Linked DNA regions of Mus musculus: region 2 is reported to be linked to region 1. Evidence: microRNA targets listed by miRTarBase, many of them from high-throughput screens and not tested one by one. Region 1 holds a microRNA gene; the other region holds the end of a gene's coding sequence.
The links. The annotated mature microRNA mmu-miR-3065-5p reads UCAACAAAAUCACUGAUGCUGG and lies in region 1 at 2,834-2,855, shown strand. An mRNA with a match to its seed (bases 2 to 7 or 8) in the 3' UTR can be bound and repressed. Matches are read on the target gene's strand: a 7mer-m8 pairs with bases 2 to 8, a 7mer-A1 pairs with bases 2 to 7 and ends in A, and an 8mer does both.

Region 2: miRTarBase lists Ercc6 as a target of mmu-miR-3065-5p. Seed matches in the 3' UTR shown: 7mer-m8 at 3,549-3,555 and 7mer-A1 at 832-838.

What each region holds. Positions count from the first base shown.
Region 1 is chr11:120,011,947-120,017,020 of GRCm38, forward strand. Mir3065 (microRNA 3065) reads left to right here and starts at 2,821; the gene lies at 2,821-2,907. Aatk (apoptosis-associated tyrosine kinase) reads right to left here. Exons shown (of 14, transcript NM_001198785.1): 4 at 4,782-4,861; 5 at 4,367-4,485; 6 at 4,160-4,247; 7 at 3,513-3,646; 8 at 1,704-1,788; 9 at 1,502-1,623; 10 at 777-926; 11 at 1-480. It overlaps Mir338 (microRNA 338), which reads right to left and starts at 2,916; the gene lies at 2,819-2,916.
Region 2 is chr14:32,576,124-32,581,197 of GRCm38, reverse strand. It overlaps Ercc6 (excision repair cross-complementing rodent repair deficiency, complementation group 6), which reads right to left. Exons shown (of 21, transcript NM_001081221.2): 21 at 208-4,512. The coding sequence ends at 4,096. Among named protein-coding and RNA genes, the nearest start is that of Prrxl1, 21 kb to the left of the region's middle.

The sequences.
Region 1 (5,074 bases):
CCCACTGAGGGGCTGTGGGCACTGAGGACTGGCACCACACCCGGCGGTGAACTGTCAGGCGCGCACAACTCCTGCAGGCGCGCTGCCGAGCCTGGGCTTGATGCAGCCCCCGAGGGTGGGTACTCCTCAGCGCCACAGCCAGCCTCCCACTTGTATTCAAAGTTGAGGCCGTGGCTTGTCTCCGTGACCGTCAGCACGTCATCACTGTCCACGTGAAAGCCGTCGCTGGTGAACCGCTCCAGCAGCGGGAAAGACGAGGCAGCGGTGAGCTCCGCGGAGGCGGCGGTGGCAGCTGCTGGGGCTGCAGAACCCGAGCCCAGGCCCGTGCTGCCCCCGGGCCGCAGGGAGCGCCAGCGCCGCTCAAACTCCTCCTCCAATTCTGTGGTGCCCTTAGCACACAAGTAGGACAGCAGTAGATGAACCTCTTCAGCTGTGGGCCTCTGCTCTGGCTGCAGCCAGCAGAACTGCATCACCTCGTACCTGCCGGGAGGCCCTCATGGGTGGCCCTGGCCATATCCAGAGGCACGCTGGCCGGAGTATAACCTGCCCTCCGGGGACAGTCCGTTCCCCCATGCTCAGAGTACCCTGGGAACACTAGGGGCAGTCAAGGCAATCTCCCAAGGCAGGCCCAGAGGCCTGGGAAGGGCCCTGAATTAGGGTAGTTCAGGCTGCAGAGACCCAGAAGCCCTGTAGAGGTGGACCGAGCAGCCCCAGGCTGTAGGGCTCAGCCCCCTGTGCCCCTCTGGCCTGCCTGCCCAGGGGGGTGGGGTCCTCACCATCGATCAGATAGAGCCAGCTGCAGCTGGGGCTTGGGCAACTTAAGCTGCTGCTCCCGGACGGCGTAAGCCAGCACCTGCCCGTCCGAGTGCTGGGGGTACGGCTGCGCACCCAACTCGAAAAGCTCCCAGATGGTCACACCCAGGGACCTGCGGGAGCAACCACAGTGACACGTGGCTGAGCATGACTGCACAGAATCCCTGAACACCTGTCATCATGTCAGCCTCTCTGGGACTGGACCTCACTACGCCACAGCCGCCCCTCTCTAGAGGCACAGATGCAAGGCAGAATCCTGTATCCCTTAAGGACAAGTGGCCTTCAACAGCATCTCAGGATGATTTTTAACCAAAATATGGTGCCAGTATTGGGGGGGTGTCAGTTGGTCCTATCCTGAAGGCCCCATACCCTTGACTGTCAAGGCAGTCCCCCCTACACACACACACACACACACACACACACACACACACACACACACACCAGTATAGGAACCTCAGGAACCCATCATCAACGAAGTAGCCTGTAAAGTGCCTCTCATGGCCACAAGGTGGCAGGCATGAGTACACTTTCCCTGTGTGGCAGCCCTAATCCTAGCCAGAGAAGGAAGTCAAAATGCTGGAGCAGGGGGCAGAACTGAAAGGCAGCATCCCCACTAGAATAGCTGACGCCAGCGCCATCTGGGGAGGCGGCATCCCAAGGCCCTCCCGGCAGCCCTGCCTGCGCTCACCACACGTTGCTGCTCTTGGTCTGGTCCACCACCAGCAGGTTGCCGTGAACCTCGTCCACCAGCTCTGGCGCGATCCAGCGCAGCGGCACCCACAGCTGGTCAGCGGTCACGAGATAGTCTTCCTGTAGCACGCAGGGACAGGATGGGAGTGAGCTCCGCTCAGCAGCTGCCCCTGCACACGGGCCCTGACGGCCTTACTCACCCTGTATTTGCAATGCGACAGGCCATAATCACCAACCTTCACTGTCAGGTCAGCCGTAAGCAGGCAGTTCCTCAGGGCCAGGTCACTGCGGAGTGGAAGGCAATGTCAGCAGAGTGTGCCAGCCTGAGTGAGCCCTGGTGGAATGGTTGGGCTCCCGGGCACAGCCAGGCAGACCGACAGGAAGGGGTGTCTGAGGGGCCACCCACTTGTGCCCAAGTTCTGGCTCCACACCCTGTACTGGCTATTTTGGAAGACCTGTGTGGACTTCAATGCATTTCTAATACTTCTTCTTCTTCTTTTTTTTCTTTTTTTTCCAGACAGGGTTTCTCTGTGTAGCCCTGGCTGTCCTGGAACTCATTTTGTAGACCAGGCTGGCCTCGAACTCAGAAATCCTCCTGACTCTGCCTCCCAAGTGCTGGGATTAAAGGCTTGCGCCACCAAGCCCGGTTTTCAATGCACTTCAATGCATGTGAAAATCAGGCAAAAGATGCTCAAGGACGACCCCCCCCCCCCAGCAAAGTGCTGTCTAACTGCACCAGAGCCCTAACCCGCTCCACCCTCTGTCTGATCTGCCCAACAAGGGCCAACAAGCCATGGAGCAGAGAGTCTGCAGTGTCCTCTCAGGACCCTCACCCTTCCGACTACACTCCACCATCCCAGTCCCCAGGAGGTAAGAACTGATGGAGAAACCGAAGCCCGGAGTGTCTCAGAGGGTCCTGCCAGCAGTCAGAGCCCATGTTCTAGAGTGCAGCCCTGCCTGGCCTGCTACACAAGCTGGAGCCGAGGTCTAGAACAGTATGGACCACAAAGGCCCCTTTGTGTGGAGGATAAAAATCACCAACTCAGTGGGAAGCCTGGAATGCCAGGCTCTGTATAACTCTTGCTTGGCTATAGCGCCCCACCCCCAGGTGTTTGGGGTACAGGACAATAGAGTGCCACGGGACGCACCCTCATCTGCCATACTGGCTGTTCTGCTGAGAGATCTCTGGATGTAGATGGGGCCACCTTGGCCTGCCTCTACCCCAGGAGGACTGTGTCAGGGGACAGGGTGGGGTGACCTGGGTCCATGCCTATGGGTGGGGCAGCTGGGCTAGGCAGCAGGCAGGGCAGGAGGCTGGCAGCTGCCCTCTTCAACAAAATCACTGATGCTGGAGTCACTGTGCACCCACTCAGCACCAGGATATTGTTGGGGAGGACGGCCTGTGCAGCGTTGGAGCTGGTGGGCCGCTTGTCCGTTGCCACTTCTTCCAGCATGTGCCCCCAGCTCATGGGAGGCTGGGCATCCTGGCCACCAGAGGCAGGAGAGAGCCACCCCTCCCACTACAGGGCCAGCCCAGCCACTCCCTTTGTGGCCTGAGGGAAAGAGGCTGGGGTTGGTATGGAGCCCAAGTATGGCTGACTGCTCTAGTAGACAGGATGGGTTTCTTCATTTAACTGTCTGCAAGGTGAGTTTCAAATGCCAAGTCTTCACAATTTATTTCATTTTGAGATGGTCCTGCTACATAGTCCTGGCTATTCTGGAGTTCATTAGGTAGACCTAGCAGGACTTGAACTCACAGAGATTCTCCTACCTCTGCCTCCCAAGCGCTGCAATTAAAGGCGTGAGCCACCATGCCCAGTTAGTTTTCCCAGTTCTAAGAATGATAAAGTTCCCTGCAGAGTGGCTATTTTTAGATGAACCCAGTTCATGAGGCCCACAACGTGGGATCACCGTGACTTTTCTGCACAGGGTCGTGTGATGGTGAGGGTTAAGGCCCTGGGGGAGTGGGGCTTTGTAGCTGTAGCCTGGCTAGTCTCGCTAGCCCTCACCTGTGTACATAGTTGTGTCGATGTAGATGCAAGACGCCACACGCCACCTCGCACGCCATGCGCTGCAAGGTAAGTGGGTCAGGCGCCATGGACTCTGTCACCCGGCAGCTCCGTAGATAACCTTTGAGGTCCCCCTGATGGACGAGAGAGCACACAGTCACCTGCTAGCTGCAGCGACCAGCCCATCACAAGTCTGCCACCCACACCAAGAGAACCTGGGTCTGGTGGCCTGTGGATCAGCTGTGAACCCTAGTGTTCACTGCTGTTTCAGCAAAGCCTGTGTCTCAATTCTGGCACAGTGACCTCCATATAAGCAGCCACCAGAGCTGTGCATGTAAAGGGCCCAAGGGGCAACACGAAGACCCAGAACTCAGGCTCTGCCCCAGGAGCTTCGGGAGCCCTGTGGCTGTCCCAGGACACCTCTCGCTGAACTATCCAAGACCCCACAGTGTTGCCCCTGCTGCTGCTGGCTCACTTTCTCTCCGCAGACCTCCTCTGAGGGAGAGCAAGGACTACCAGGACTCTACTTTAGAAATAACAAAAGACCCCAAGAGGCTGAGCAAGAGAGGAGCCACTCCCCTTTGGAACAATGAGCTACAGAACAGGACCGGGAGAGACAGAGCTACCTCCCCGAGAGGACCACTTACCAGTGGACAGAACTCCATAACCAGCAGGTAGGGGGTCACTTCAGCACACTGGGCCAGGCACTGGAGCAGGTTGCTGTGCTGCAGGGCCCTGGAAGAGTCCACGGGTGTTTAAGTTGGAGGGCAGGAGAGGGTGTCCCATAGCCCTCAGTTTCTCCCACTGTGCTGCTCCCCTGCCCGGCCCCACCCCGCCCCCGCCACACCACCCACCTGTAGGGCTGCGCCTCCTCCAGGAACTGCATCTGCTCCTGCACGCTGGCGCTCACCTTCAGCTCCTTCACCACCACCTGCGTGCCACTGACGCCCGAGTGTACCTCCCCCAAAAACACCTGCCAAATGTGACAGGCATCACCAGGTCCCCTTTCAGTCTCCATAGGAAAAGCCATCTAGCGCCCAGGGCCTCAGATGGTCATACAACTTCTCACCAAGCTCTGGCTAGAACCCTCAGCCCCAGTCCACCCACAAGGCTCCTACTTTTCTCACTGCCTGGGGACTACAATGAGGAAAAAGGAATCAGGTACATGGTCCAGTCTGGGGCGGGTGTTAGAAAGAGCCCCTCCCTAGGGGATCCCCAGGAGTAGTGGGTCCACCCTTTGCCATTCCTGCCACCCCGGGGCATGCTTACCTTCCCAAACCAGCCGTGGCCAATCTCCTTTAAGTACAGGAGGCTGTGCCGGCCCAGGTCCGTGGACTTGAGAAGTTGCACTAGAGTGGAACAGAAATCCAGACACAGCTTAGCCACCGCTCCCTCTCCATCTTCCCGACCACGCTCTCCAGAGCCCAGAGAGCTTTCCCAAGCTCCCCAGCCAAAGAAGCTTCAATAAAGTGGAGGCCAGGTTTGAGCGCTGTCATCGAGGGCCAGTGTCTCTTAGGCTCTGGGGTGGCTGCTGTCAGCAGAGCTATGGACCTCAAGTCTCC
Region 2 (5,074 bases), not on the chromosome of region 1:
AAAGACAGTTTCCAAAGACACGTGGCTTTGTTTGGGAGGGACTTCTCTTCCGGTTTCCCGTCAGTGTTGACTTTTGGCTAATGAATCTGTACATCATCCCTGCCTCACCTGCAAACTGGTAGAAGCTTAAGAGAAGTTTTGATGTTGAAAGATTTGACTGTGTACTTCACCAAACTAGGGAAGGGTATTAAAGAGGAAAACTGTCGATAAAAGCAGGAGAAACATTTAATGAAATCCAGCAGTGGATTTAAAACTGGAAAGAATATTCCCTTAACCCAACTAAGCCATCTATTAGGAAACAGCAACTGTAGGTGTTAGAGCTTCTCCTCGATGGCAGGAAAGAGAGATGGCGAAGTACTATGCCACCTGTAATCATTTCTACTCCGTATCAGAGCGTGTGCATATTGGAACACGTGAAACACAATCGTTACTATTACAGCTGATCCAAGTATTATAGGACAATTTACAGATCAGAGTGCAAGTTCAGCAAAGTTGCTAGATGATACATATAACATCAGTTAGCAAAGCCAACGTAGAGAGAAGCAGGAGACGAGCCTGTATAAATGAGAACACGTGGGTTTTCAGAAGGTGTCCTTTACTACAGGTACAAAATCAAGGTTGGGACTAAGCGTAAGTTGTACATCAGACTCACTGTTCTCACCAAGATTTGATAGAATTGCTTGCATGATACACATTTTCTATCTATGCATACGTAAGTTGTCTATTACAAAATGCGAGATATAGCACAATTATTTCTTTATAAACATGTAATAAAAATACATAGCTATGGCTTATTCAGAGATGCACGGGACCCAGCATCATAAATAATCCTCAACAAGTCTGCTCATTCATTGTAGTCACAAAATCCCAATGTGACAAGATGATCTAATATATCCAAGATATAACAAAGATCCAAGAGTTGCTCTACAATTTTTGACAGTCAATTAGAAACCTACATGATTAAAAATGGTTTATTGGTAAAGATGAATGGACAAAGTTAACAAAATATAGAGTTCAGGCACATTTCCATGATTATATGGACATGGGACATAATGGTGGATTGGTGGCTTTATAAATGTATAAATCAGGAAGGAGAGAATGATCTACAGTTTTCAAATGTTAGGAAAATATCTATTTCTGTATAATTACATTTAGTCATTTACCTTATTGCTGACAAAATACCCAGACAAAAGAACCTAAGGAAAGAAGGGTTCATTTTTGGCTCACATTACAGGTGACACAGTCTGTCATAGCAGCCATCAGGAGGTCCAAAAGGGCATCATGAGCTAGGAACCACATGTTCAAAGACGTGAGTCTACAGGTGGGACACTTCCCATCCAAACCACATTGTAACTAACAAGGCCATTCACAAGATTGCATCATGACCATAGGATATTAAAAAACTGAATGTAGCAGCTTTGAATGTAAACGCTTCCAGTGATAAGCAACACAGAGGTGACACAGGAATGAGTCAAGCATCTCCACTTTTTTTTTTATGTGAAAGTAAAAGATCCTTTAAAATCCTAAACAAAAATTCTGTAAAACATCTAGAACGAAGCTAATATAAAACTGAACCCTTATGAGGAATGTTACCCAAGCAATAAAATTAGGCCTCTCATAATACTAATGGGAAAATTATATTAATTATAAAGAAGTCTATTATCTTCCAATTAATGGGCAAACTAATGCAATCCCGGCCAAAAGAGCAACACTTCAGTGGAATCTAATAAGCTAATTCTATCATTTGCTTGGAACAGGAAATGCACAAAAATAAGACACAGAGGACGAGATAAAAAGGAAAATGGACTTTCCCACAGGTGACAAACGTCAGCGTGCAGAGTGTGAGGGAACAGACAGACACGGGGTCTGACGTCAGCCTTGCAGTGCACTACGATGAGTCGAAGCTGGCATTTGGAGTGGTGGCGGATGATGGACTAGCCCAGAATGGCTTTTTGTTCTTGCCTCTTTCATAACTGTCTTTCATTTATACTGAGGAAACTAGGTGAATATGGTATTCTGTCTGGTGTTAAATCAGGGAAATTCAAATTAAAGTAAGGTTATTTTATGAAACAAGACTAATTTTAAAACAATGTACCAAGATGGAAACTAGTTGCTGTGGGCAAGCCTGAGGAAAGTGAGCCTGTGATGGGTTTGGAGATCAGCAGGTCAGCGAAAGCAGAGGTACATAAGTGAAAAGACCTGCATAGTGCGAACGTGAGATACACAGGAAACTTACAGCATTAGTGTGTTACATACATTACACCAATTAGATGTTAAAACAGTATTAAATAACACTTCATTTATTTCACTCCAAAGTATCTGGTCAAAGATAGCTGTTCTTGACTAGTAGACCATCCACCCTCTCCTGAAATGCCAGGAGACGCCTGAGGCTCTCACAGACATCCTGACCAGCAAGCCAGGGAACTTTCAGGGGCATGCACACCATGCCTCTGTGTAAGCTTCAAGCTAGAAGTCTTCCATCTCACTGCCTGGAACTGTCATGGGGCCACACCTGCAGGGAGGCTGAGAAACAATTTTCAGCTGGGCAGTCATGAGTCCAGGGGAAACACAGAGGAGGAGTAACCCATGCCAGGAGCCATGCCAATGCCTGGGCAACTGCACAGAGCTCTGGAATGCACAGGATAGGGAGGCAGGAGTGCTTGAAGGATTTCTAACAGTGACAATACAGGAAAAACCAGTATTTTTAAATCTTTTATTTGTAATTATTTAATATGTTTAATACATTAAATCTATTTATACCGCACAAAGTATTTAAAGTTCAAAGAAATCAGATTGCAGCTCAATGTATAAAGGTGTGTATTGTTAAAAAGTACTTTAACCTGGAGAACTGGTCTCTAAGCTTCTCCCAGCTTGGCTGGATAACCATGTTTACAGATTCAACCTTCCCAGGCTGGGCAGGTCAGTGGCAGAGGTGGAACACGGATCCCTTCCTGACCGCGTGGTAGGTAACTTTCGACAGTTAAAGACTGTCTATACAGCCGGGCGTGGTGGCGCACGCCTTTAGTCCCAGCACTCGGGAGGCAGAGGCAGGCGGATTTCTGAGTTTGAGGCCAGCCTGGTCTACAAAGTGAGTTCCAGGACAGCCTGGACTATACAGAGAAACCCTGTCTCGAAAAAAAAAAACAAAAAAAGTGTCTATACGACATTCTCTAGCTCAGTATAACTTAGATCTCAGACATCACAGGCACAGCACAAATGTTTCATGTTAGTGAGTCAGGTTGGTAGTCAGCCTAAGGACAAGGGCAATAGCATTTCCTGTAGGCTGATCACTGGAACAAAAAATAAATAAACGAACGGGTGTTGTGACTTCCTTCTGAGCCAAGTACTAAAGTTTAGAACTGACTGACCTATTTAAACAAACCCCATCCGCCATCTTTAGATAATGATGACAGAGAAGAAAAACCAGACTTCCTACTTTGACACGTATGTATGAACTGGGAAGGAACTTGGTGGTAAAGCACATACTGAGCATGTGCAAGGCACCAGAGTCTGTCTTCAGCAACATTTAAAACAAACAAACAAACAAACAACAAAACCCAAGCCTGCTAATCTAAAAGTGCTATGAAGAATTATTTATATGTAATTAATGATTTGACAGATAGCAAGTGTCTTTCTGTATGTAACCAGTGGGTCAGAAAACCCATGCTGTATCAAGGTACCAAGATTATCGGATACTGTGAAGTGACTTATAAGATGGGGTGGATAAAGAGAAGACATATGCCCAGCACCAGTAAGAAGAACCGAGATGTATTCTTAAATACTGTGTGCTCCCTGACAACATCTTTTGGGTTAAGTAACGTATTTGCTCCATTAAACAACTGTTAGGTCCCTGGTTTTATAACTTAATTCACAGTGCCACCAAACAAACAAAACAAAAACCCTCCAATTATTTTCTTCTTCAAGTTTTAGTCTTGAGGTAGATGACATAGTAAATACCAAGTACAGTCACTCATGCACACGCGCGCGCGCGCGCGCGCACACACACACACACACACACACACACACCCCACGAACACTAATCACAGGCTCGGGGAGCCAAGCTTTCCATCTGAAAGAGTTTAGAGAGCATCACTGTTAGCAGTATTCTGGCTTCAGCTTCCAAATCCCTTCCCCACCAGGAGTTCTATGGAAATTGCACAGATTTCTCAGCAGTTCTCGGAAGACACAGGACTGTGCCACGGACAGCTTGGACTCAAACTCCTGCAGGATTTCCTGAGTGCTGGCCTGGCCATCCACCTGGGCCTGGAAAGCAATGAAGTTCCTCATGTCCACCAGAAGGTCGTCGTGTTCGGTGCCGCAGGGAGGCACGGCAGCAGCCTCAGCAAGATGTTCACTGTCACTCTCTAAGCGCTCCGGCAAAATCATGTGGTTTCTTGCTCGCATTCTGGCCAAGAGGGAGGAGGAACTGGGCGCTCCAGACACAGATGCTCCATCTTCTTTGCCACTGAAGTGCTCAGGGGTGTGAGCTTTTCCCTCCTTTTTCATGTTGTTCTAGAGAAAGAAGACTACACGTCAACAGACAGACTTCCAGATTAGTCCACTACTTCCCCAAAGGCTGTGAGGACCCTCAGGATAACTGAACTGCCATGTGTATGGTGAGATGCGGGAGAGGGCATGGTCGCCATCCGAGGCCAAGGTAGAGATGTGGATGTGAATCTACCCATTTATAATGGGCACCTCCTAAAGAAATAAGCAGGGAGAAGAGAACGAAGCCGTCTCCTGGATCCGAGTATGAGAGCAGGGAGCAGAGGGAGACCGTGCCTGTAGGCAGTGCCTGGGCCACGGGATAAGGAGCAGCTGTCTCAGCCTTCTTCCTTTCCCACTCTGTATCACATGTGCTTCCTTAAACCAACAGACCTAACCTGGAAAGCACCTTAGACTCCTGCTGCTGAAAGCAGGAACTCGGCAGACTGGAAAGTGTCTGTTCTCAAAGGAGTTCACATGGAGCTAAAACTGGAGCCTTAACCTGGGTGTCTTCACGCGTGAGCTTTCACACATCCTTAGTCAGAAAGACAGAGTGCTGTTTGCCCAACACTCAAGAAGGCTCTCTGGC